Linked DNA regions of Cricetulus griseus. The protein of the gene in region 1 purifies or fractionates together with the protein of each later gene. This does not show direct contact. Links are inferred from orthologs where the notes say so. Each region holds a gene or a part of one and is shown on either strand. Other genes may lie near its edges.

Region 1 (3,561 bases):
GCAGATAACAGGTTCCACAAAAACTGGGTCATAAATTCGCTGTTTATAAAAAGAATAGCTACTATTTACTGAGTCCAGCTCTGTATGCACTCTGAATTTTGCTAGGCATCTTACAAACAGGGTTTCTAAGTTTTTCACAAGCCCACAAGGGATGGAGGAACATTGAGGCTAAGGGAGACTTAGAGGTCTAGTCTCTGAAAATATCAAACAGGAAAAAGAAAAAAAGAACCTGCACATACCGTTGGTAGACAGAAGAAAGTAGGCTGCATTCTGCTGAGGGAGCCATCTTATCTTATTGATTTTTTCTTCTATCTCTAAGCTCTTCAGGTAATCGAACTCGGGTTCATGGCTCTGGAATGTGCTGTAAACATTGTATTCACCCCTACGATGAACCTGGTTTTTACTCTGTAGGGTGGTAAAACACACACAGAAAATGAAACCATTTAAAGCAAGTGCCAACTCTGTTTTCCCTTTAAGTGAAGCCAGTAGGGGTGGGCTGGCAGGCTACATCACAGTGTGGGGAGGCCAAGATCATTGCAGCCATAGATTCAGCTTAGTTTACTGGTCCCCAAAGCATGCACTCTGTTGGTTAGAAACACACACACACACACACACACACACACACACACACACACACACACACACACACACGTAAATTATATATTTAAATTATATTAACACAAAGTGTAAATAATATATATATTATATATATATATATATATATAATATATATGTATATATGGTGTGGTGGCATACATCTTTAATCCCAGCACTCAGGAGGCAGAGGCAGGTGGATCTCTATGAGTTCAAGGCAGCCTGGCCTACAAGGAGAGTTCCAGGCAGCCAGGGCTATACAGAGAAACCCTGTCAAAAAAAGAAGGAGGAGGAGGAGAAGAAAGAGAAAATGAAAAGAAACAAGTTAAAATAGGGCAAGACTTTGAAGCCAATACAAATAGAAGGTCTAATATTCAAATCTTTGTGTAGTTCAGGAAATGCTGAATGGTCCATTCCAGGGTGATGCTCACACATGATTATATCAATTCCTATGAAAGGTGCAAAAGCTGTAGCAAATGCAACTTTCAATCCTCATGGACTCTGAGATGTAGGAGAAGCTGGGAGATAGACCCTGGAGGCTCAGAGACATAAGTGACTCTTCCAAGGTCATATAGCACTTATGAGCAGACTTGGACATCAGTTCCTCCCACCTCCACTTTTATCCAGTATAGTGATGAAAGGGCCATCTGCACATGAGTGCCATCTGTATCACAAGGAGAATGATGGGCTTTACCTATGTCTTTCCCATGGCACTAATTATGCAAAGTGCAAACAGCAGGAACTAAATAAATGATGAGACACTGGAGCACAAAGCCAAGGGCCTGAAGTTATGGAAAAAGGTGAAGAGGAAGAAAAAGCTTCTTGCAGAGACAAAGATAAAAAGAGAGAAGAGGGAAGATTGTATTTGCAGGTATTTCAGAACCATGTTACCCAAAGTCGTGAGAATTGGCTTTGAAATTTTGTTCAAAAATTAAAATTTGGGTTTCACTAAACATATTTTAAATCAAAGTTTGACTTTTTAAAGAAAAGGCTCAATTAAAACTCTAGGGTCTCAGATGGACACAGGACACTGGAAGGCATGTTGCAGTTTGTCCACAAGTGGCTACATCTGCTGAGACTGGAGTGGGTAGACACTGAGGACTGAGGTCCTTCAGAGCAGTTTTTCTGGGAGTGAGAATACTATTAAAGAGTCACTGGCCCCAAATGATATCACATGACTTTTGTGAGGCAAGCCATGTAGGCATCTGAGCCCCAAATTTTGGAGAAGCTAACACTGAACTACTTGATCCTCATCCTCACTGATGTTTCTGTCCCAGTGAAGCCACCTCTACTGCTTTGGAAGGTGTGCCCCCATCATTCTCCTACTGAGTCAGGCTTCCCAAACCTCCCAGTAAATGAAAATAGGTGAAACCTATATATAGCTAGCAGAAAATGTGGGGTGGAATATTACTGGCAACATGCAGCCTTGGGTAATTTATGCTAAATAGCTCCTCCAGTTCCCCTTAATCATAGCTGTGAACCTAATTGGATTTTTTTTTTTAAAATTGGAGACTTGAAAATCAGTTTTCAAAGGACTTCAGATGCCGACATCTTTGACACTCTCCTGCTTACTCACAGAGGACCGGTCCACCTTAACAAAAAATGTCTAAGAGGGCTGATTTGCTACCATCCAAATCAGACTGTCAAGTGTGTATACCATGTGCCAGACCAATTAGCACCAGGCAGCCCTGGAAAAAGCAGGAAAAATTCCAGGTCACAAAGAGCGATTTAGTTCTTACTTGCCAACTACATTTTCATATTTCAGGGGCCAATGCAATAGGCTGGGTGCCTGATTTAATGCCGAGCTCTTGAATTTACACAGAACCCCGAGGGATTATGAAACCCTTATAGAAATTAATTGCAAATAATGTGCAATTACCAAATATATCACCCCTAAATGAGGTTTTCCTCTTTTGAGGGGGAGGTATAATGCAAATGGCTTGGAGGCACAAAGCGGGCATTAAATTGCTTGGGAAGTCTCTTGTGGAGACTTCCTCTTAACACTGGGCCTCCCCCACACCTCCCCAGTGCCCAGTGGATCTCAGAGGAAGACAGTGGCAGATGGGCGAGTAGCTAGAATACAGACTACCCTGCTGGAGGGGCTACAGTGTGCCAGGAGAGGCCAAGGAAACCAAATCGGGCCATGATTCCATTCCGAGAAAACAGAAACAGGCCTGGGAGGGGAAGTATCCTCAATTTATGTGGAAAAGAGATGGTTTCTAGTGGAAACCAAGCCCCAGGAAGAAACCAGCCATAGACATGGGCATGATATAACACACCCAGCTCCCAGGACACACACTAACATGTGTCTGCGGGGCCAAGAAGCCCTTTTGGAGGATTTCACCCCTTTGGCAGGTTGAATATCAATTTCTTCTCTATTGACCCAACATGCCCTCTTTACTACCGTTGTCAAATGAAGCTATTTTCCTCTCCTATATGAATTCTGCAGTACCTGAAATGAAGGAAGCCTGAATTTCAACACCAGGATAGATCCCAAGACAACAGCTGGAGTTTGCTCCTCCACAGGCACCTGTGGAATTTTGCAGGTCAGATGAGAACAGCTGCTGTTTCCCAGTGTTCACCATACAGAAGGATTAGGCTCTGCCAGGGGAGAACCCTCTTTGAGGTGCTTTTGTGGGCTTGAACTTAGAACTGCTATGGATGCTAATGACTTTTTGGCAGTTTTATGTGGTGAGCAAAGTGGCAGGCAAGGTTAAGGGCGACAGACACGTGGGGATTAAGGCACAGTGGGAGGCCTCCTCTCAAAAAGGGAAGAAAATGAGAATTTCCAATTGGCTGACACTTACCTCCTGTTCTCGCTGAAATATTACAACCCGACCCCCCTTGTCCCCTGTCGCTAGTAACTCTCCCGTGTGGTTGAATTCTACCGTAGAGATAATGTCAGCTGAAAAGAAAAAAGACAAAAGCAATTTAAGTAAGCGCACACTTACTTTGAAAGGGTAGATA
Region 2 (4,234 bases), on another chromosome or scaffold:
CACACGGGTACCAAAACAAACACATAAATAAAAACAAATCTTAAAAACCGTATCAGTTCCCTTCATTAGTCCACCTTTACCTCTTTGCTTCTTCCAGATGACAAAGATACTCGTAAGCCACGTTCTGCCGTCTCCTTTCATCCATCTCCTCTGCAGTGAGCCTCTCATTGTCCAGCACAGCTAAGATGAGAAGGAAAGAGCATAAAGGCCAAGACCTGTACCTTTCCTCAGCCATAGCCACCAAATTGCTGCCTGTCACCTAGAAAAGCAGGCTAACTAGTGGATATGTGGGTAGCCAGGTGTACTACAAATGACTTTCCTAAAAACAAACCCATATGGTTTCAACTATACTCATATACCCTGTGTGCGTGCGTGCGTGTGTGTGTGTGTGTGTGTGTGTGTGTGTGTGTATGTATATATGTATATATGGCAAAGGGCTGCAGAGATGATTCAGCAGTTAAGAGCACTCGTTGCTCTTGAAGACCTGGGTTCCTAGCACCCACATGGCTGCTCACAAGCATCTGTAATTCTAATTCAAGGGGATCCAATGCCCTGTTTCTGACCTCCAAGGACACCATACATACATGCAAAATTATGTGTGATATGGGAAGGTGGTCACTGGTAAGCTGCCCAAGCTCCAGTGGACAATCCGATACCCACACATATAGGAGCATCACTAATTGGACCTAGTTGGGGGTTTTCTATCATTATTTTTTTAAAGGCTTAAGAGATGGCTCAGCCTCAGTTAAGAGGATTGGCTGCTCTTGCAAAGGACCTGGGTTCAATTCCCCACATCTACATGAAGGCTTACAACAGGTTATAACTGGAGTTCCAGGGGATCAGACATTTTCTTCTGGGATCTGCAGGCATCAGGTACATACTTGGTATACAGACATCATACACGTAGACAACAAATCACCCATACACATAAAAAAAAATTAAAAAAGAAAAAGAGCCAGGAGTGGCAGCACAAGCCTGAAATCCCAGCACTTGGGAGGCAGAGGCAGGCAGATCTCTTGAGTCCAAAGTCAGACTGTCTTAAGCAACAAATTTAGGCCACCTACAGTTATACAGTGAGATCCTGTCTCAGATAAATTATTGAAGGGGAGAGATGGGAGATAGGTATAATCATATTTTACTTTTTTATATGTATGGAAATCTCAAGGAATCAAATTTTTAAATGTTTTAAATGTATATTACTACATTTTCTTGTAGCCTCAGAAGGTGCCAACTAAGGTCTGTCCTTATTGGTCAGAACTAAAATAAAGGGTATCATACTCTCTCGCCCCTCTTTATTCTGAGCTAAAGTGGGCAGCTATGAGACTAAACATTTTACATACATTCTCTCACTACAGCCCAGAACAATCCTGTGGTTACCACTATTTGACAGAGGAGGAAATTGAAGCCCCATGAACTCAGCCTCAGGGCTAATAAAGGGACCTACATTCAAATCCACCTGTCTCCAGGGCCTGTGGGCTAAACCTTGAAGCAATCTGCCTCCTCCATAAGCACCCCAAGGTGTGAAATGAATTCCTAACCCCCTAGAAAAGCAATCAAAGCCATTCTAGCTCTTCCCCTTCTTTCCCTTCCATTCCCACCACTCCACACCACCCCATTCTGATTCTTCCACACACGGACTATCCCTGTAGTCTTCAATACCATATTTAGTTTAGTCTGCCTCTCAAAGTCATGTCATGCCCTACACAGCATCTTTCCAGTCTGTGTTCCCATGGCCTCCCTAAGTCCCTCTCTTCACCACCATTACTCTTTATACCTAGTTAGTTCATGCATCATGTATCTTTATTGCCCCGTATTACCTTTCTGCCCTGGAGCTAAGGACCCAACCCAAGGCCTTGCACTTGGTAGGCAAGCGCCCTACCACTAGATTGAATTCCCAACCCTTCATCTCATTATCAATCTTTTGTACACCTGTCTCCGACAGTTTTTGAAGGCATTACATGGTCTTATTCATCTCTAATTTCACAAGCATGGCACACTATCTCACACATAACTATGGATACGTTAAAGTAACCCTTAAGAATGCACTTTTCCCAGAACATCAAACAAAATCTGAACCTGCCCAAAGGGATCCTCTCGTAACAACTATCCCACGTACAGTTGGTTAGTTCACTGATGACCACGGAAAATGAGGAAGTGGGGGGGGTGATTATTTGGGTCTGTGTGTGTTTTTTTAATTTTACCTTTGAAATGCTGATTAGAGAACCCAGCCCGAGGAAGTTTAAGTGGCTTGCCCAAAACTGCACCTCGCAGCTAGTCTGGCCACGCGGGTCTACACCTTGGTTCACCCTCGCAGGCAGCAATCGGGGCAGCACACCACCCCCGGGTCCAGTGCCCAGGACACGCCCTGCACAGTCCTCCTGCCACCTCACCCCAGGCCGTCTTCCCCAATCTCAGTAGAGCTAAGCGGCGGAGGCGCTGGGTGGGGCTCCCCTGCCGCAGCTCCTGGCGAAGGCTGAGGCCTGCAGGTTCCTACCCGCCACCTCCGGAGCTCTAGAGGGCTCGGGCGCCAACCTTGCTGCTAGCCACCACACAGCTGGGCTGCTCTTCCGGGTCCGTGCAGTCCCAGGCCACTCCGCGCACCCGCCCGGCTGAGCCCCCGGGAAAACCCGAGCCTAGCCCGTCGCCCACGCACCCCAAGCCCCCGGTACTCACAGCCATAGTGCGGCCGGACCACACCCAGCCCATCAACCTCCTCCGCGGCGGACATGGCGGCGGAGTCCGTTCTCCGGTGAGGAAGCGCTGAGACCTTGAAGACGCGGACGGCAGTAGCAGCGGCAACTCCTGCCCTGTGCGCGGGCTGTCGCGGTCCCCGAGGCCCCGCCCCGCGCCATCAGCCCCACCCCGCGCCATCGGCCCCACCCTGCAGGCCCCGCCCCGCAGACCCCGCCCAGTCGGGCTCCCCCGAGCGGGCGGAAGGGCGTGGTCCCTTTTGCAGGATCCGCCCCTGCCCGCTTCGCCCTCCAGTTGCGGAAGCGAGGAGGCGGGGCGCAGTAGGCAAGCTTGGCCCGTTGCCTCTGCACTCCTTTGCTGTCGTCCTATCCGCTGCTCAGACTGAAAGGCCGCCAGTGTCCGCAGTTTGAAATCCAATTTGAAATCCAAACTTGTTCGGCCGCGTGCCTACCTTCCTCTGACAGCTGAGTTAACTCCCTCTGCACCGCGGCTCATTGAAGGAGCCCTTTCAGGTGGCCCAGGGTGCTCTTGTTGGACGCAAATAGGACCCAAACTGACAGGAAAGACTGTCACCCCTACTCTCTGCCACATTTTTGTCTATCCGGGCTCCGTTTTCTCCAGCGGTATCGCTAAGTCTCTTAAATTTGGGGGACAAAGATGCTGAAGCAGGAGAGCTGTTGATCAGATTAACTTTACACTGCATGCTCTTTGCACGCACGCTCTTAAGGGGTATCTTGACCCTGTTAAGGATGCCTCTTCTTGCTCTTGTGATGTGCTTTCAAAGTGTCGGTATTTGACCGAATTCTCTCTTCAGCCCTTACTGGTTTTTCTCAGTAGCTTGCCCAACATGGTGGCGCAAGCCTGTAATCATCCCACACTTGGGAGGCTGAGGCAGAAGGATCACCATGAGCTCGAGGCCAGCCTGCGTAACAGAGTAAGATACTGCCTCCAGTTAATAATTATCATAAGTAAAAGCCTCATCTCCAGTAATCTTATGCTCACCATAAACCTCAGGTGGTCTCTACTTACAACCCACACCATCTGGAAGCCCCTTGGTAATTTCAAGCTATCTAATCCGCACTTTCAGCTGTCTCCCACAGACATTAAAAGTTTCACAGTCAGCCATTGATCCTGTTCCTGCCTCATTCTCTGTAAGTATTCAGTCACACACACCCAGGTTCTTGGCTTGCCTCTATTTCTGAAGCGTCTAGTTTTTGTTTCTGTCCTCGTTTATGATGACATGTTTAGATTATCATCATCTCTAATCTCACTTCTGCCAACCAGATTGTCACAATTACCGACTAACATCTTTTGTTCTTTCCAAAACACAAAACAGAGTGGTTTTTTTTTTTTTTTTGCTAATTCTGTACCTTCAAGCATTTAAAATAATCTACAAAACTATTTTTAATTTTGATTTTAATTCCTTCAATTACTTAATGGCAAGTAGAGAAACACCTGTAGATTAATAAATAGGTCATGTGGGACAAGGGGACAGGTGTCTTCCTGTGTTAGAATGAAGTTTCTTTTGTGTAGTTCCAGGTAT

Evidence for each region.
Region 2: the proteins of Ppp2r2b (region 1) and Iqgap1 purify together in Homo sapiens (co-immunoprecipitation; 3 studies listed by BioGRID and IntAct, with this or other methods). This does not show direct contact. The link is inferred for Cricetulus griseus from reciprocal best matches to the Homo sapiens genes PPP2R2B and IQGAP1.

What each region holds. Positions count from the first base shown.
Region 1 is NC_048595.1:195,204,038-195,207,598, reverse strand, and holds part of Ppp2r2b (serine/threonine-protein phosphatase 2A 55 kDa regulatory subunit B beta isoform), read right to left. Parts: intron 3,500-3,561; coding exon 3,402-3,499; intron 406-3,401; coding exon 240-405; intron 1-239. UniProt on the Homo sapiens protein: The B regulatory subunit might modulate substrate selectivity and catalytic activity, and might also direct the localization of the catalytic enzyme to a particular subcellular compartment.
Region 2 is NC_048596.1:116,792,423-116,796,656, reverse strand, and holds the start of Iqgap1 (ras GTPase-activating-like protein IQGAP1), read right to left. Parts: upstream 2,841-4,234; 5' UTR 2,729-2,840; coding exon 2,674-2,728; intron 181-2,673; coding exon 81-180; intron 1-80. UniProt on the Homo sapiens protein: Plays a crucial role in regulating the dynamics and assembly of the actin cytoskeleton.